3 linked regions of the Stegostoma tigrinum genome follow. The protein of the gene in region 1 binds, or shares a complex with, the protein of each later gene. Links are inferred from orthologs where the notes say so. Each region holds a gene or a part of one and is shown on either strand. Other genes may lie near its edges. The genes, in order: pigh, phosphatidylinositol N-acetylglucosaminyltransferase subunit Y-like and dpm2.

Region 1 (6,706 bases):
TGCAACCTTCTTTTTGAACATTTAGCCTATTCATTTTCACTATTATTCCAACCCCTCCCCCAACAAATGCAATTTTCCCTCTGCGTTCCAGTTTTAAATTGTCTTTTAGATCCGGATCTTTCCCATTTACCTGTTATATTTTTTTAAAACAATCTGTTTTTCACCTCCTACACACTTAATCCTGTTTCCGTTTTGACACTCCGTCAAGACTTTCTATTCCCACCTCTCCTCCCTTGCCCCATCTGTCACATTCTCTCACATTCGTTTTAGTCTCCAGCATCCTGTCTGCTCCACCTTGCCCCAGTGCTTTTCATGAACAACTACACATTTCATATTGTTCAAAGATTCTTTCGTTGAATGTGTATAATCCTGAAAGCTTACATGTTCTTAATTTACATTTTTGTCTTCCTTTAATACTTCACGACCCAATTTTTAAAAAATTTCAATTCAAAAGCATTTCGATACATATGGATCCAGAAATGAAATACTGTGGATCTTGGAAATCTTGAAATAAAAACTGAAAAATGCTGGAAACATTCAAGGGGACAGGCAGCATCTAAGCAGCAAGAAACGGAGTTTGTCATTTCAGATCTTTTGTCAAAGTTGGGAGAAATTAGAAGTTTAACAAGTTTTGAGGAAAACAGGAAACCAGATAAAACAGAGTGGCATGGCAATTTCCTTTCTTTGATGACCCTAGCTGACGGGAGTTGGGAAGCTCTCAGCAATGGAAGCTCAAGAAACAGCATTTCATTTTCCAGTTAGGTGCTTCAATGGTGTTCAGTTTAGTTCAGGCGGCTGGAAGTTGGGTTGTGAAGCAGTGTGATGCCAAGAGCGTGGGTTCAATCCCCACATCAGCTGAGGTTACCACGAAGGGCTCTCCTTCTCAAGCTCTCCCCAGACTAGAGGTGTGGTGGCCCTCAGGTTACATCACCAGTCCTCTCACACTCTCACTCACCAGAAACCCATGGTCTGACTCCCAACACACATTTCAACAGTAGGGCACTTCAAAAGAAAAAAAAATAATTTGAGATACTGGAGGTGATGAAAAGCATTGTACCAATGTGAATTCTGATTGTGGCCTATCAATTTTCTGACAGCAGCTATGCAATTCTCAAATTTCATGTAGTGTTTATTACAACATTAAAGACAGAAGATGCAGTTTCTCCAGGACTGAATAGTTTAAACAAGGAAAGTGTTCAAACATTAAACAGTCCTTCACGTTCAGGTTCCATATTTGTTGTTACTCTGCAGTAGAGTGTCAGTAACTTAAGGAATCATTACTCCGTCTCACTTACCATATAAATGGCTTCATTGATCACAATATCTTTCACCTTCCTCATCTCAATGAATCTCACACTCTCTCTGCCAGAAGCATACACGGTGTTCATCTGGACTCCAATCGATCCAATGATCAGCATTGACTCCTGATCAATCTTAAATAAGTGGAGGTGCAGCATCATCCCAACGAGAGTCAAAACAATGGAAGCTGAGAGCACTAGAGTGTTCTGCAAGAAGCAATTTGCAACAAAGACTATCAGGGCAGTTCCTGCAACCTGTTCACGAAGCCAACTTGAACTTTTAATAATGGAAACTGAAAATGCCCAGCAGGTCTGCACCCAGTTCTGATTACAGATCATGGACCTGCAACGTTAACTCTGTTTCACTTTCTACAGATGCTGAGTTTCTCCAGCATTCTCTGCTTCTATTTCTGATCTCCAGCATTCACAGTACCTCACATGTATTAGAAACTGCCCTTTATTTTGTATCACTGCCTATTAAAATGCATCACTACAGATTTGTTATTATGAAATAACAATAGGGAATCTAATCCAGTCTGCTATATGTCTGACCAATAATTCTGCCTACGTCCTCTTGAGGTATATTACTTCTCTTCACTGTTCACAACAATACTTCCAATTTTTTGTCATCTACTAATTACACCCTGTGCAGTTAAGTTTATTGTCATTATATAGATCAAGACTAACAGTATGATCCTGGTACTGATTCTTGAGGGAACCCTCCTATGCAAAACAAAAGTCAGCTTTTTATTACTACACTGTCTCCTGTCACTCAGCTAACTGCGTAGCCAATGATACCACTATGTCTTTTATTCTGCAGGATTTAGCTTTGTTGCAGAGCCAGGATGTGGCCCTCTAATACATAGCTTTGGGAAGATGATTCACACTACATCAACTCTCTGTGTGAGTGCCGCAGAAAAAAAAACTCTTAGTCAAATGATTTGCTTTAAATAAATCCACGCTGACTTTTGTTTGTTAATCCACACTTGCTTACTGACTGCTTATTATGTCCTATTTTATCTCGACTGCTTTCCACCAGCGAGGCTAGAGAGTGACTGACCAATAGCTGTTGGGATTACCTTTATATCCTTTCTCAACAAGGGTGTAACATTTGCCCTCTGGCACAAATGAGTATTTGAGGAAAAGAAGATGATTATGGCTAGCAAGTCTGAAATTTCAACTCTTCACACTGCATCCAGTCCTGGGGATAAATCAACTAAGTGCACAACCAGCCTGTCTAATGTTATGTCTTTATCAAGTTCCTCAAGGTTGTGTCCATGGCAGAATTGTACTCAACTGCTTTTGTCAATGATCTTCTCTCCATCAGAAGTGGGAATGCTCAATGATTGCACAATGTTCACAATTCATTACCAGCCTGTCTAATGTTATGTCTTTATCAAGTTCCTCAAGGTTGTGTCCATGGCAGAATTGTACTCAACTGCTTTTGTCAATGATCTTCTCTCCATCAGAAGTGGGAATGCTCAATGATTGCACAATGTTCACAATTCATTACTTCTCAGATACTGATAGAGGCCATGTCCAAACGCAACAAGTCGTGGACAATATTCAGTGTGGGTTAACAAATGGCATGTCTCACACTCACTTCAGCAAAAGAAAATCTAACCATCACCCCTTGGTATTCAATAGCACTGCTACCAGTGAATCCCCACTATCAATATCCATTGACAAGAAACTAAACTGGTCTCGTCATACAAGTACAAAAGTGGGTCAAATGTTAGAATTCTTGCATGCCCATAATTCCCTAAGCCTGTCGGGCATTACAAGGCACAAGGCAGACGTATAACAGAAAACATTCCACTTGCCGAGATGGGTGCAGTTCAAACAACTCAAGAAGCTTCACACGATCCAAGTCAAAACAGTTGGCTGATTGAATTTGAATGTAGTGCCACTCTATCCACCAATGCTCTGTAGCTGCAGTGCGTACCATCAATAAGATGCACTACAAAAATTCACTAGGACTCCTTACACAGTACCTTCCAAACCCACATCAAGCTAGAAGGACAAGGGCAACAGAAACATGGGAATACCACCTCCTGCAAGTTCCACTCCAAGTCACTCATAATACAGACTTAGAAACATATCAACATTCCTTCACTGTCATTCAGTCAAAATCCTGGAACTCCCTTCCTAAGGGCTCTCTCTACCGACAGCACCAGCTTAAGGGGTAGCTAGAGAGGAAACAATAAGTGTTACCCATGTTCTGTGCGTGAGTGAAGGAATGAATTTATATTTAGTCCACCCATTATGAGTCACTGACGGAAAAGACAGGTATAAAGTGTTCATTTAGTACCTAGCCATGCCCTGCAAATACTCCCAGGTTGAGGATGCTAGCACATCGCTCACCTATTGAGCCCTGAGGAGTCACCTGTTAGGGTACTGCGCATGTGCGAAGCCGGACTGCGCACCTACAACGCAGTGGGGCGTGGTCACGACCTTGCGCGACAGGAGCAGGGGCCAATCGGTCTGGACAGCACCGGGGACGAGGCGTTCCCAGGCTATGACTGATTGGGGCGTCAGCCAATCGCAAATTGATCGCTGCCCGCCTAAAGGACTGGGACACACGTCATCAGGCCCCATCGTCCAATTAGTAGGTGTCCGCACCTCCTCCCACCCCCCCCCCCGGGGCCAACCCACCTACCTGCGTCCTGTTAAAGATGGCGTAAGCGACCAGCCAGATGGCGGCCGTGCACCCCAACACCGAACGCAGGGACATTTTCGGCGACAGGATTGTGAACTCGCGGCAGAGCGGCGAGTGGTGTCTTTGTTCGAGGGTGATGCAGCGGCCGCTTAGGTCTTTGAAAGTCGACGCCATGTCTCCCAAGCCCTGCTGGTGACGTCACGCCGCTGGGTGCGCCTGTCCACGTGACTGCGTGGGAACACCTGGCCTTTTAAAGGGACAGGCCACCTCCCCCAATCAACCAGGAGGAGCACCTTCAAACAACTGAAAGGTGCCAAGGTGCACTTACTTTGCAGCTAGCATCATGAAAATGGGGAACTTCCCTCACTATCAAAATCAAGGGGCTAATATTTAGTGATAATGGGAACTGCAGATGCTGGAGAATCCAAGATAATAAAACGTGAGGCTGGATGAACACAGCAGGCCAAGCAGCATCTCAGGAGCACAAAAGCTGACGTTTCGGGCCTAGACCCTTCATCAGAGAGGGGGAGGGGGTGAGGGTTCTGGAATAAATAGGGAGAGAGGGGGAGGCGGACCGAAGATGGAGAGAAAAGAAGATAGGTAGAGAGGAGAGTATAGGTGGGGAGGTAAGGAGGGGATAGGTCAGTCCAGGGAAGACGGACAGGTCAAGGAGGTGGGATGAGGTTAGTAGGTAGGAGATGGAGGTGCGGCTTGGGGTGGGAGGAAGGGATGGGTGAGAGGAAGAACAGGTTAGGGAGGCAGAGACAGGCTGGGCTGGTTTTGGGATGCAGTGGGTGGAGGGGAAGAGCTGAGCTGGTTGTGTGGTGCAGTGGGGGGAGGGGACGAACTGGGCTGGTTTAGGGATGCGGTGGGGGAAGGGGAGATTTTGAAACTGGTGAAGTCCACATCGATATCATTAGGCTGCAGGGTTTCCAAGCGGAATATGAGTTGCTGTTCCTGCAACCTTCGGGTGTCATCATTGTGGCACTGCAGGAGGCCCATGATGGACATGTCATCTAAAGAATGGGAGGGGGAGTGGAAATGGTTTGCGACTGGGAGGTGCAGTTGTTTGTTGCGAACCAAGCGGAGGTGTTCTGCAAAGCGGTCCCCAAGCCTCCGCTTGGTTTCCCCAATGTAGAGGAAGCCGCACCGGGTACAGTGGATGCAGTATACCACATTGGCAGATGTGCAGGTGAACCTCTGCTTAATGTGGAATGTCATCTTGGGGCCTGGGATAGGGGTGAGGGAGGAGGTGTGGGGGTAAGTGTAGCATTTCCTGCGGTTGCAGGGGAAGGTGCCGGGTGTGGTGGGGTTGGAGGGCAGTGTGGAGCGAACAAGGGAGTCACGGAGAGAGTGGTCTCTCCGGAAAGCAGACAGGGGTGGGGATGGAAAAATGTCTTGGGTGGTGGGGTCGGATTGTAGATGGCGGAAGTGTCGGCGGATGATGCGTTGTATCCGGAGGTTGGTGGGGTGGTGTGTAAGAACGAGGGGGATCCTCTTTGGGTGGTTGTGACGGGGGCGGGGTGTCAATTAAGCAGCAACGCGACTGGACTTGCCATATAAATAACTGAATGGCTACAAGAGCAGTTCAGAGGTTAAAAACACTCGTCTCCTGACTCCTCAAGGCCTGTCCATCATCTACAGGGCATAAGTCAGGGGTGTGATGGAATACTGGCCAGGTGCCTGACTAGTTACAGCTCCATTAACACAGCTTGATGCCACCGATGATTAGTTACAGCATTGTGTACTGTCTACGTAAGATGCACTGCAGAAGTTCAAAGACCATCAGACTGCACCTTCCAAATTCATGACCGGTTCCATCTAGAACATAGTCAACAGTGAAGAAAGTTATGTAAGATTACAAAGGAAATTGCAATCAATTGGCCAATGGGCCGAGGATTGGCAGATGAAGCTTAATTTACATAAATGCAAGGTATGGCATTTTGCTACAACAAACAAGGGCAGGTCATACGCAGTTAATGGTAGGGCCCTGGGTAGTGTCGCCGAACAGCGAGACAGAGGGGTTCAGGTAACAATCCTTTGAAAGCTGCATAAGACATAGTTTGGTTAAGAAGGGGTGTATGTGTGTGTGTTTGTTAAGAAGGTGTTTAGCAAGCTTGATTTCATCACTCAGATGTTTGTGTAGAGGATTTGGAAAGTCATGCTGAGGTTGTACCGGATGTCAGTGAGGCCATTTTTGGAGTACTGTGTACACTTCAGGTCATCCTGCTGAAGGATGGTTCGGAAAATATTTACCAGGATTTTGCTGGGAATGGAATAGGCTGGGAATTTTGTCACTGGAGTGTAGGAGTTGACAAGTGATCTTAAAGATTTTTTGAAATCAGGAGGGACATGGATAAGTTAACTGCAAAGGTCTTTTCCCTAGGGTGGGTGAGTTCAAAACTAGGGGACGTATTTTTAAGGTGCAAGGAGAAAAATTTAAAAGGGACCTAAGAGACAAGTTTTTCACGCAGAGGGTGGTTTGTGTGTGGAATGTACTGCCAGAGAAAGTGGTAGATGCAGGTACAGTTCCGGCATTTAAAAGACATTTGGATAGGCACATGAATAGGGAAGGTTTAGAGGGATATGGACCAAATGCAAGCAAGTGGGGTTAGTTTAGTCTAGGGAAACTTAGTTGGAATTGACAAGCTGGACCAAAGGGTCTGTTTCCATTCTGGATGACTACTGGGGAAAACCACCCCTGCAAGATTCTGTCCAAGTCATTCGCTATCCTGATGTGGAAATATCA
Region 2 (5,338 bases), on another chromosome or scaffold:
GCACCTAATACTGCAAGGAGAGGACTCCCATCAGCTCTGTGGATGTTTCTACTGTGCAATGCCAACACAAAATGTTCTCTAAAATAATGCAAACAACTAGTATTTATATAGTGCCTCTCATTACCACCAAACGTCTGAAGATGTTTCTGAATTAGTGAAGTACCTTTCCACTGTTGTAATGTACAGATATGCAAACAAGGATGTGATATTGACCAGCAGTCTTTTTTCATGATGGAGACAGATGAACATTCTTATAGAAGAATGAGGGGGATTTATAAAAAACTTTTACAATTATGAAATGAGTCAATAGAAGCAAGGAGCATGTTTCCACTGGTGGGAGAAACTAGAACAAGAGGACATAGCCTCAAAATTACAGGAAGCAGATTTGGCACTGAATTGAGTTGTGAATTGGCAGAATTCTCTGCCCACTGAAGTAATTAAGGGTTAGAATGAGAGGGTGGATAAGTGGAGCTGAGGCCATGAAAATATCAGCGATAATCTTACTGAATGGCAGCTGGTCTACTCCTACACCTAGTTCTTATGTTCTGTGAATACCAGACAACTGTCCAGCTTTTTCTTTTGAATAGTACAGCAGTCCTTCTGTATTGAATTCCTGTCCCCAGATAGTGCCATGTTCCCTTAGTACTGTAGTGGCTGTATCCACCTAGGTTTGTAGACTCACATCTCTGGGGTGAGACTCAAACACCTGGTTTCCTGATTCTGATGTGAGTGTGCTTGCTAAGTGATGGGTTGTCAGCAGATTGACTGAACAAAAGCAGGATGTCTTGATGCCTTTAGACTGGAGGAATTTTTGTCTTGATTGTACACCAGAAACATTCAGAGTATTCAAATCAAAGGAAGTGGCTTGTGGGAAGTAAATAGATGCAATGGTTCTGCCTCCTTGATAGTATTGCCATTTATGTACTGTAGCCAGAGCAGGAATGGCTTTTTGGTTTGGGGCTGTTCGTTCTTCATTTTAGAAGCTCAGAACTGTTATACAATTGACTTCAATCCTGTTTAGTTAGAGGAGAGGGATGAAACGCCTACATGGATTCTTCATCCTGAAGATTTAGCAAGTATGTCTATGAGTGTCTTGACTGCAACACCATTCTCAATCAAATAGCTTACCATTTGCTTTTAAGATACTTGTGTAAATAATAATTTCCTTGTTGAGTCTAAGCTACAAATGATTGAAGAACTCCATCCCATCAAAAAGTAAACATCTTCAGGGAAGTGTAGAGAGAAGAATGGAAATACATACAAGATTAACAGTATCTGAACCAGAAAAGTGGGTTTGTTTAGCAGATCAATTCTGATCTCTGTACCAAAGGAAGTTGAGTTTAATAAAATTATCAGTTTGTTGTTAAAGATAACAATTTCCCCACATTTATTTTTCATGTTTTGTTTTGTTTTGTTTCTGTCCTGGCTATGTTTCACCTTTTAAATCAGTCAGTTAGCAACATACCCTCCCAAAGCTACAATTTTGCACAACAGCTTGGCAGTTCTCCCCACTGACCCTCGACCACAACACTTGTATTACATGCAATCAGCTGATGAAAATATCAGGTTTCTTGAGCTTGTGAAAGAAACTGTGTAAATGCAGAAGTGTTCGCTTGTCTTTCCAACTCTTTTGAAAATTGGAAATGTTTTGAGAATCATAGAAAGATATTGCCTTTTGAAACATAACATTTTCAACCAGATTAAAAGGGCAGACTCCAGTTCCAACTCATTTTGAATGAGCTGCAGTTTAATACTTTGCTTCTGTCACCTTTATAGATATGATGAATCCTCCAATCAGCTGATCAATGATGAGTTGGGAATAGCCTATCCTGTTGTCGATGGAATTCCCAACATGATCCCTCAGGATGCAAAGTTAATTCGCAAGAGTGAAGACACACCCAAGGCGGAAGAACTTTCACAGCAGTAAACGGATCACACATTGCTTCTGGAAGTGGTGGGGAACTCTGGAAGTTTGAGATTATTTTAAAGGGAGGGAGCTTATCTTGCGTATTGCAAGATAATGACAATCTATCTGTCAACTCTCACAGTGCTGGTTCCCCTGTTCTCTTTAGCTGGGCTGTTGTACTCAGCTGCATTTGACAAGGATTTTCCACAGGGCTGCACTAGTATGGCCAGCTTGTGTTTCTACAGCCTACTACTCCCCATCACTATCCCAGTGTTTGTATTTTTTCACCTATGGAGCTGGATGGGGATTAAACTTTTCAGGCATAACTAATTTGAGTTCAAAAGCTATTGCGTATGATGATGTTTGTGGTGACCTGACGGCATCAACCTCTCAAATGAAATTTAGTTTCAGTAACAAGGTTTTTCCATTGGCTTGGAGGTATTTAGAATCTTGAGTGTATTATTGGTGGAAATTGGCACTGTTTTGGTTAACTTGTTCCTTACACACAAAATGCGAGGCATTCACTTTTGCCTCATCATGGTACATTTTTCTGGTAATGTTCAGTTCCATTGGCTTCATTCCCAGTGACTGCAATGCAGGAGACATTAACAGGCAGTCCATTTGAACCAGTTCGATACGGATTTCTGTCTTGAAGAAACAGTGTAACCAAAGTCACATCAAATTCCACCACAATGTCAGATGCAAATAAACCATGGAAATTCATTATAACAAAGGTTTAGTTTTGGTGCTTTTGACCTTGCTTTCGAAGACACTTGCTGTTTGCCTGGGTATTTAGCCACACTTGTGGTCTGTATTTGAGTTTCCTTGCCTGTATTCTGTTACTTTCACACGTTGCTTGGTAGGTAGTACAATGATTTCTTGATTCAGAAGGTTGTAGTTTAAGTTCCATGTTTGCTGATACTCCAGTGTAGTACTGAGAAAATATCACATTGTCAAAAATGCTCTCTTTTAAATGTTAACCAAAGCCCTGTCTGCTCCCTTGTGTAGAAGTAAAAACTTCCATGGTGCTATTTAAAAGAAAAGCAGGGGAGTGTTCATTGGCTATCTGACTAATGTCTGTCCTTCAAGCAACAACATTTGAAAAAATAAACATGTTATCTGGCAAATATCATATCGATGTTTGTGGGAACTTCCTGGGCATATGTTGGCTGTCACATTTTCAATGGTTCAACCATGACTTCACTTCAAAAGTACTTCAGGATGGCCCAAAGTGTATTATAATTAATGAAATGCCTTATCAGGGGGAAGTAACAAAGTGCTGGAGGAAGCCTGGCAGCAGCTGTGGAGGGGGAAACAGAGCTAACATTTCAAGTGTAGAATGACTCTTCCTGCACTTGCAGTATTTTGCTTTTATTAGGACTGGGAGCCCTTCCTTTACTGAATTTTCTTCAGAAGAAGCTGGGCATAGAATAGGCTAGAATCAGTCTAGGTCAGAAGTTGCTGAAAACTTAATACAACCATGGAATGACCTGTCATTGTAAACTAAGTTACTGGTAATGAGCAGTTCGAGTCATCTACATGTTGAAAGCAGATGATTATTTCCATACCATGCAGTTTGAGTTATCTTTAAATAAAGCAATTTGAAGCAAATGTTTCATCTCCATCACTAGACTGTCTGGCTGTAGACTGGATATTTTTTACCTCAGTTAAGATGGGGTGAAGTTGACCAGAGATTGCAAATTCTGCTTCAATGGGATGCAGTGGGAGGAGGGGAGATATTGAAGCTGGTGAAATCCACATTGATACCATTAGGCTGCAGGGTTCCCAAACGGAATATGAGTTGCTGTTCCTGCAACCTATGGGTGACATCATTATGGCACTGCTGGAGGCCCAGGATAGACATGTGCATCCCAAAACCAGTCCAGCTTGTCCCTGTCTGCCTAACCTGTTCTTCCTCTCACCTATCCCCTCCTCCCACCTCCATTTCCTACCTACTAACCTCATCCTGCCCCCTTGACCTGTCTGTCCTCCCCGGACTGACCTATCCCCTTCCTACCTCGCCACCCGTACTCTCCTCTCCAACTATCTTCTCCTCTATCCATCTTCAGTCTGCCTACCACCCCCTCCCTATTTATTTCAGAATCCTCTCCCCATCCCCCTTTTCTGATGAAGGGTCTAGGCCCGAAACGCCAGCTTTTGTGCTCTCAAAATGCTGCTTGGCCTGCTGTGTTCATCCAGCCCCACACTTTGTTATTTTGGATTCTCCAGCATCTGCAGTTCCCTTTATCTCTGTTTATAAAAAGGAAATTGCTTGACAAATTCAAGGTTTGTTTTGATGTAACCAATGGTATAGACAAAGAGGAGCCACCTTGTTCTAGAAATCACCAGAGGAAACAATTTTTGTCTATCTCTTTATCATCTTAAACATTTCAATTCAACCACCCCTCAAATTGTTTTAATCAACCTATTCTGACGTTATCACCTTTGGAGCAGACGGGACTGGAATCCAAGCCTCCTGGCTATCGGCACAACCACTGTGCCAAAGGAGCACCTTTCTTAATTTTCTATAACTTGGCCAATAGTGATGTGGGAAACCTCATTTCATAATTTAACCTTCTATGTACTGGTTATCATTCTGAGGAATCTCTATTGAGTTACTCCAAGGCCAATATAGTAGAGGAGACAAGTGGTGTAATGGTACTGTCACTCGACAGATGGGTCAGAGGGTCAGGTTACTGTTTTGGGCACAAATGTTAAAATTTTACTACAGTGGCTAACATAAAACTAGCCTCCATAATGCTTTGTCAATTGTCATAAAGTCCCATTTGAACAAAGAATAAAACCACAGGAATGGAGCCCTTCGGCCCTCTAAACTTGTGGCCACTACATTTTGCTCTTCCATACTAAAACTGTCTTCACTTACAGGATCCATATACTTCTATTCCTTCCTATTCATGTATTCGTCCAGGTGCTTCTCGAATGCTGCTATTGTGCCGGATTCTACAACCTCCTCTGGCAGCACATTCCAGCCACTCACCACCCTTTGTGTGAAAAACGTGCCTCGCAAGTCTCTTAGAAAGTCCATCTCCTTACAAACCATCCCCCCCCCCCACCGACCACCACCACACCATGAACATGTGAACCCTTGTAACCGAGCCCCCACTCTGGGAGAAAGCTTTGCACTTTTCACACTATCTATGCCATTTACAATCTTAAAATCATATTGGGTCACTCTTCGACCTCCTTCATTCCAGTGAAAAATAAACCCAGCCTAGCCATATTTTCTTCACAGCTAGAATCCCCCATACCAGGCAACATCCTGGTAAACCTTTTCTCTATCCTCTCCAAAGCATCAACATCCTTCTGATAGTGTAGTGATCAGAACGATAAATAATAGGTCAAAGTGTGGCTTTACTAAAGTTCTGTAAAACTGCAGCGTAACTTGTCTATCCTTATACTCAATCTCCCTAC
Region 3 (6,706 bases), on another chromosome or scaffold:
GAGGTCTCTATATGATGGAAGTTAATATCATAATTTGCTTCATAATTTTTTCAGGCATATCTTTTGGATCATAACTTAGCTCACACACTCATCAAACTGCCAGCTTTCCTATTGATAGAAATCTGCAACTTCTGGAACCGACTGCCTTGCCAATAGCCTAATATTTAGACATTACTTTAACGGAAACTGTTTAATATTAGATTACGTTGAAACTAAATACTTCCATTCAGAGATTGATAGACTTTTGGACACAGTGAATTGAAGGACATGGGCAGCAGGTGAGTAAGTGGGGTCAAAGTCCAGGATTAATCACAATCAGTAAATTGAGGGGTCACAAAAAAAGGAAACTTAAACAATTCTGGAAATTAATCCAAACTCTCACTATCTTTCTGATTCATGGAATTATTTAAACTATCTAAATCTATCGATGTCAAATACTTTTAAAATCAGCACTCACCAGAACAATGACCCAGATTGTGTAGTATGTGAAAACCACTAAGCTGAACCCCACCAGACCCATTCCAACCACTTGGTCTGCTCCTGTTGCCTGAGAGAGGAAAAGAGGAGGGGTTAAAGGAGAAACATTGAAAAGCATGCCCTTTCATAAACGGCCAGTAAAGTTCATACCAAATAACTGCCAAGCATTCTAAAAGGCAAGAATCTAACTATCTCCCCTTGACGCTCACAGTTGAATTCCTCATAGTCAACATCCTGGGTTCACCACTGATCAGAAACCTACCTGGACCTGTGCTGAGTAGCTCCACAAAGCCTGCTGCACTATTCATTAGACAAGTCAAAAGCATGAGGGAACTGTCCACTTAGTTGGAAGTGTGCAGCTCCAGCTACATCCAAAAACGTCAACACCACCCTGAGACAAAACAGACCACTTCAGTGACATACAAACTAGCACCTTCAACTTTCACTTCCGCCAATGCACAAGGGAATGGTACCATCAACAAGATGCATTCGGGCAACTCACCAAGTCTCCTTCAACAGCACCTTCCTAACACACAATATCTACCTCTAGAAAGAGGGGGGCAGCAGGCACACAGAGACACCACCACCTGCAAATTCCCCTCCGAAAGACACGCCATCCAGGCTTGGAAACGTGTCATTGCTCCTTCACGCAGAGAGTGTCAAGACCGTGAGATGTTATTCACTTGTGAGAAACTATGAAAAAGGAAACAGAGGAGCAGAAGTAGGTTATTCAGCCCCTGAAGTAGCCCGAGCATTCCAGATCATGGCTGATCATCGACAACAACATCACTTTGCTAAGCTATCCCCATATCCCTTACTATCGTAACTAACTATAAATTTATTGATCTCTGTACTTAGGGTACGACGAAGCTCCCACAGCCCTCTGAGGCACAGAATCATAAAGAGTCACCTCCTCAGGTAAGAAATTCTTGATCATCTCAATCTTAAACAGCCTGCTTTCCTTCTCACCCTAAAGTCAATCTAGTTCACAGGAATATTGTGCAGAAGAATGGTGAAATGCTGAGTAGAACAAACAACTGGGAAAGCTAATACAATGCTTTGCTGTTTGTTGAGAGGGGGAAATCAAACACAAAAGGAAGGAGATAACAAGGCGCAGAGTTAGATGAAAGGTTTTGGGCAGACAGGGAAACCGGGAGCAGTTGCGGCAAAAGGGAAACGTAAGTAAATCCAAACAGAAAATGTCAAGTATTCGGACTGAGACAAGTCAAAAGCACAAGGGAACTGTCCAATTAGCAGGAATTCGGACAGCACGGCACCCACCTCCACACTGACCCTCCCACCGTGAGGCGCTCCCTCAGCGCTGACCCTCCGACGGCGCCCGCTCCCTCAGCGCTGACCCTCCGACGGCGCCCGCTCCCTCAGCGCTGACCCTCCGACGGCGCCCGCTCCCTCAGCGCTGACCCTCCGACGGCGCCCGCTCCCTCAGCGCTGACCCTCAGACGGCGCCCGCTCCCTCAGCGCTGACCCTCAGACGGCGCCCGCTCCCTCAGCGCTGACCCTCAGACGGCGCCCGCTCCCTCAGCGCTGACCCTCAGACGGCGCCCGCTCCCTCAGCGCTGACCCTCAGACGGCGCCCGCTCCCTCAGCGCTGACCCTCAGACGGCGCCCGCTCCCTCAGCGCTGACCCTCCGACGGCGCCCGCTCCCTCAGCGCTGACCCTCCGACGGCGCCCGCTCCCTCAGCGCTGACCCTCCGACGGCGCCCGCTCCCTCAGCGCTGACCCTCCGACGGCGCCCGCTCCCTCAGCGCTGACCCTCCGACGGCGCCCGCTCCCTCAGCGCTGACCCTCCGACGGCGCCCGCTCTCTCAGCGCTGACCCTCCGACGGCGCCCGCTCCCTCAGCGCTGACCCATTGAAAGTGCCCGCTCCCTCAGCACTGACCCTCCGACAGTGCCCGCTCCCTCAGCACTGACCCTCCGACAGTGCCGGCTCCCTCAGCACTGACCCTCCGACAGTGCCGGCTCCCTCAGCACTGACCCTCCGACAGTGCCCGCTCCCTCAGCACTGACCCATTGAAAGTGCCCGCTCCCTCAGCACTGACCCTCCGACAGTGCCCGCTCCCTCAGCACTGACCCTCCGACAGTGCCCGCTCCCTCAGCACTGACCCATTGAAAGTGCCCGCTCCCTCAGCACTGACCCTCCGACAGTGCCGGCTCCCTCAGCACTGACCCTCCGACAGTGCCCGCTCCCTCAGCACTGACCCTCCGACAGTGCCGGCTCCCTCAGCACTGACCCTCCGACAGTGCCCGCTCCCTCAGCACTGACCCATTGAAAGTGCCCGCTCCCTCAGCACTGACCCTCCGACAGTGCCCGCTCCCTCAGCACTGACCCTCCGACAGTGCCCGCTCCCTCAGCACTGACCCATTGAAAGTGCCCGCTCCCTCAGCACTGACCCTCCGACAGTGCCGGCTCCCTCAGCACTGACCCTCCGACAGTGCCCTGTCCCTCAGCACTGACCCTCCGACGGCGCCCGCTCTCTCAGCACTGACCCTCCGACGGCGCCCGCTCTCTCAGCACTGACCCTCCGACGGCGCCCGCTCCCTCAGCACTGACCCTCCGACAGTGCCCGCTCCCTCAGCACTGACCCTCCGACAGTGCCGGCTCCCTCAGCACTGACCCTCCGACAGTGCCCGCTCCCTCGGCACTGACCCTCCGACAGTGCCCGCTCCCTCGGCACTGACCCTCCGACAGTGTCCACTCCCTCGGCACTGACCCTCCGACGGCGCCCGCTCCCTCGGCACTGACCCTGTGACAGTGTCCACTCCCTCGGCACTGACCCTCCGACAGTGCCCGCTCCCTCAGCACTGACCCTCCGACGGCGCCCGCTCCCTCGGCACTGACCCTCCGACAGTGCCCACTCCCTCGGCACTGACCCTCCGACAGTGCCCACTCCCTCAGCACTGACCCTCCGACGGCGCCCGCTCCCTCAGCACTGACCCTCCGACAGTGCCCGCTCCCTCAGCACTGACCCTCCGACAGTGCCCACTCCCTCAGCACTGACCCTCCGACGGCGCCCGCTCCCTCAGCACTGACCCTCCGACAGTGCCCGCTCCCTCGGCACTGACCCTCCGACAGTGCCCACTCCCTCAGCACTGACACTCTGACAGTGCCCACTCCCTCAGCACTGACCATCTGACAGTGCCCGCTCCCTCAGCACTGACCCTCCGACAGTGCCCGCTCCCTCAGCACTGACCCTCCGACAGTGTCCACTCCCTCGGCACTGACCCTGTGACAGTGTCCACTCCCTCAGCACTGACCCTCCGACAGTGCCCGCTCCCTCAGCACTGACCCTCCGACAGTGTCCACTCCCTCGGCACTGACCCTGTGACAGTGTCCACTCCCTCGGCACTGACCCTCTGACAGTGTCCACTCCCTCGGCACTGACCCTGTGACAGTGTCCACTCCCTCGGCACTGACCCTGTGACAGTGTCCACTCCCTCAGCACTGACCCTCCGACAGTGACCACTCCCTCAGCACTGACCCTCCGACAGTGTCCACTCCCTCAGCACTGACCCTGTGACAGTGTCCGCTCCCTCAGCACTGACCCTCCGACAGTGACCACTCCCTCAGCACTGACCCTGTGACAGTGTCCACTCCCTCAGCACTGACCCTCCGACAGTGTCCACTCCCTCAGCACTGACCCTCCGACAGTGTCCACTCCCTCAGCACTGACCCTCTGACAGTGTCCACTCCCTCGGCACTGACCCTCTCTCACTCACCATCTCCACTCGCTTCGGCCAAACTTCCACTTCCGGAGTCAGACGCAACGTCTTTGTTCCTGACCAATCAGCGCCTTGGAGGTTTAATTTCCCCCGCCCCCCCGTTCCCCATTCCTGCTCGTTTCCGCGGCACCTCTCTCCCATTGGCCCCTGTCGCCATCAATCATCACCCCGTGTCGCTCGCGCTCATGCCTGCAATGACGTCTGGTGCTGCTGCACCGCCCTCTGTCGGTGAGGGCCGGTAGTTTCCCCTGAGTCACTGATTCCCTTTCCCCATGCCACTCTCCACCACCACCAGCCTGCACATCTCCTGTCCCCAACACAGTGCTCAGTCCCAATCCCCTCATTCCCTTCCCCTCACTCCAAAACCTCATCCTCCATCCCTGCACCCCATCCCAAACCCAACCCCCCATCCTAACCCTACTGTTCCCGCCACTGCATTATTATCAATTCTCATTCCCACGCCCTTTTCGTTTATGTCCCATACTATCTGTTGAACTCTTTCTGGAGAGGTCCCTGCAGTCTGATGATCAAGTTAAAACTGTACGTTCCATCAAGCTCATGAGGTAGCCTCTTGTCATTGCAAAATCAATCTTCTCGCCCCATCCCAATCCCTTGGCTCCACCGCTATCCCAAACCCCAATCCCAGCCCCATCCAACACCAAATCTCTCCACTCCACCTCCTTTCTCAAACCCGTTTTCAAATCATTCCCAGACCAAAAATCAATCTTCTAATGCAAATATATCACAAATCCCAGCCCAATCTAACCAATTTTCCCAGGCCCAAAACCAACTCAGTTGAGCAGTCTCACAATCTAAACCATCTCTTCCAAACCAAATTTGAACCCCAAGCCCAGCCCAGCATATCCCAGCCCTCCTTAACCCCAAAACTGTCTCCCGAACCACCCAGCCCAGCCCAAACCCAATCCCAATCTAGTCCTCCAACCCCACCACACCCGGCACCTTCCCCTGCAACCGCAGGAAATGCTACACTTGCCCCCACACCTCCTCCCTCATCCCTATCCCAGGCCCCAAGATGACTTTCCATATTAAGCAGAGGTTCACCTGCACATCTGCCAATGTGGTATACTGCATCCATTGTACCCGGTGTGGCTTCCTCTACATTGGGGAAACCAAGTGGAGGCTTGGGGGCCACTATGCAGAACACCTCCGCTCAGTTCGCAACAAACAACTGCACCTCCCAGTCGCAAACCATTTCCACTCCCCCTCCCATTCTTTAGATGACATGTCCATCATGGGCCTCCTGCAGTGCCCCAATGACGCCACGGGAAGGTTGCAGGAACAGCAACTCATATTCCGCTTGGGAACTCTGCAGCCCAATGGTATCAATGTGGACTTCACCAGCTTCAAAATCTCCCCTTCCCCCACCGCATCCCAAAACCAGCCCAGTTCGTCCCCTCCCCCCACTGCACCACACAACTAGCCCAGCTCTTCCCCTCCACCCACTGCATCCCAAAACCAGTCCAATCTGTCTCTGCCTCCCTAACCTGTTCTTCCTCTCACCCATCCCTTCCTCCCACCCCAAGCCGCACCTCCATCTCCTACCTACTAACCTCATCCCACCTCCTTGACCTGTTCGTCTTCCCTGGACTGACCTATCCCCTCCCTACCTCCCCACCTATACTCTCCTCTCCGCCTATCTTCTTTTCTCTCCATCTTCGGTCCGCCTCCCCCTCTCTCCCTATTTATTCCAGAACCCTCTCCCCATCCCCCTCGCTGATGAAGGGTCTAGGCCCGAAACGTCAGCTTTTGTGCTCCTGAGGTGCTGTTTGGCCTGCTGTGTTCATCCAGCCTCACATTTTATTATCCCCAATGTAGTCCTGTCTCTCAACCTCAACTTAAACTTTTGTGTAGCCCAGTGTCCCAGTTCATCTCCAAAGTGATGGATTGACTCGTGCCACTCTCTGATTTTCAAGAACTACAGTTCCTCCTCCTCGTTGTCTCCTGGACAACCATTTCTCCGAATTAGAGAGTTGGTAGAAAGAAGGGTCTAGGCCTGAAGCGTTAGCTTTCCTGCTCCTCTGATGCTGCTTGGCCTGCTGTGTTCATCCAGCTCCACACCTTGTTATGTCAGATTTGTCTGAATGAGTCAGCCATCATGCAGATTTAGAGAGTTACACCACTTCATCAGCTGCAGGGCAAAGCTGTGGCACAGTGCAAATTGAACACAAATCACATATTCAGCCCATCAGGCCCCTGCTAGTGTTGATGCTCCCTTTTACCAGGAGGGGTTGTAGGTAAACAGCGCTCTAGAAACTCTTAGAATATTTCCAGACTCTGATATAGACCCTCTGGCCAGCTGGCTCTACCGCATCTTCCTTCATTCCAGCCCCCTGGACAAAATGTCCTTTAAACACCACCATCCCCCCCACCCCCCACAAGACTGCACTAACCATGTGCTCAGTTCTCTCACTGGTGCCTCTCCATTCTCCCCTCATGCCCTTTGTGGTTCTTACCTTGTCCATGAG

Evidence for each region.
Region 2: pigh (region 1) and phosphatidylinositol N-acetylglucosaminyltransferase subunit Y-like share a complex: the UniProt entries of both Homo sapiens proteins name them as parts of the glycosylphosphatidylinositol-N-acetylglucosaminyltransferase (GPI-GnT) complex. The link is inferred for Stegostoma tigrinum from reciprocal best matches to the Homo sapiens genes PIGH and PIGY.
Region 3: pigh (region 1) and dpm2 share a complex: the UniProt entries of both Homo sapiens proteins name them as parts of the glycosylphosphatidylinositol-N-acetylglucosaminyltransferase (GPI-GnT) complex. The link is inferred for Stegostoma tigrinum from reciprocal best matches to the Homo sapiens genes PIGH and DPM2.

Annotation. Positions count from the first base shown.
Region 1 is NC_081363.1:80,337,685-80,344,390, reverse strand, and holds the start of pigh (phosphatidylinositol N-acetylglucosaminyltransferase subunit H), read right to left. Parts: upstream 4,188-6,706; 5' UTR 4,132-4,187; coding exon 3,958-4,131; intron 1,506-3,957; coding exon 1,296-1,505; intron 1-1,295. UniProt on the Homo sapiens protein: Part of the glycosylphosphatidylinositol-N-acetylglucosaminyltransferase (GPI-GnT) complex that catalyzes the transfer of N-acetylglucosamine from UDP-N-acetylglucosamine to phosphatidylinositol and participates in the first step of GPI biosynthesis.
Region 2 is NC_081370.1:36,825,597-36,830,934, forward strand, and holds phosphatidylinositol N-acetylglucosaminyltransferase subunit Y-like, read left to right. Parts: upstream 1-2,020; coding exon 2,021-2,236; 3' UTR 2,237-3,038; downstream 3,039-5,338. Other genes in the region: protein preY, mitochondrial-like, read left to right, coding at 1,777-1,927. UniProt on the Homo sapiens protein: Part of the glycosylphosphatidylinositol-N-acetylglucosaminyltransferase (GPI-GnT) complex that catalyzes the transfer of N-acetylglucosamine from UDP-N-acetylglucosamine to phosphatidylinositol and participates in the first step of GPI biosynthesis.
Region 3 is NC_081382.1:40,458,620-40,465,325, reverse strand, and holds the start of dpm2 (dolichol phosphate-mannose biosynthesis regulatory protein), read right to left. Parts: upstream 4,257-6,706; 5' UTR 4,221-4,256; coding exon 4,218-4,220; intron 3,333-4,217; exon of another isoform or gene 3,244-3,332; intron 548-3,243; coding exon 458-547; intron 1-457. UniProt on the Homo sapiens protein: Regulates the biosynthesis of dolichol phosphate-mannose. Regulatory subunit of the dolichol-phosphate mannose (DPM) synthase complex; essential for the ER localization and stable expression of DPM1.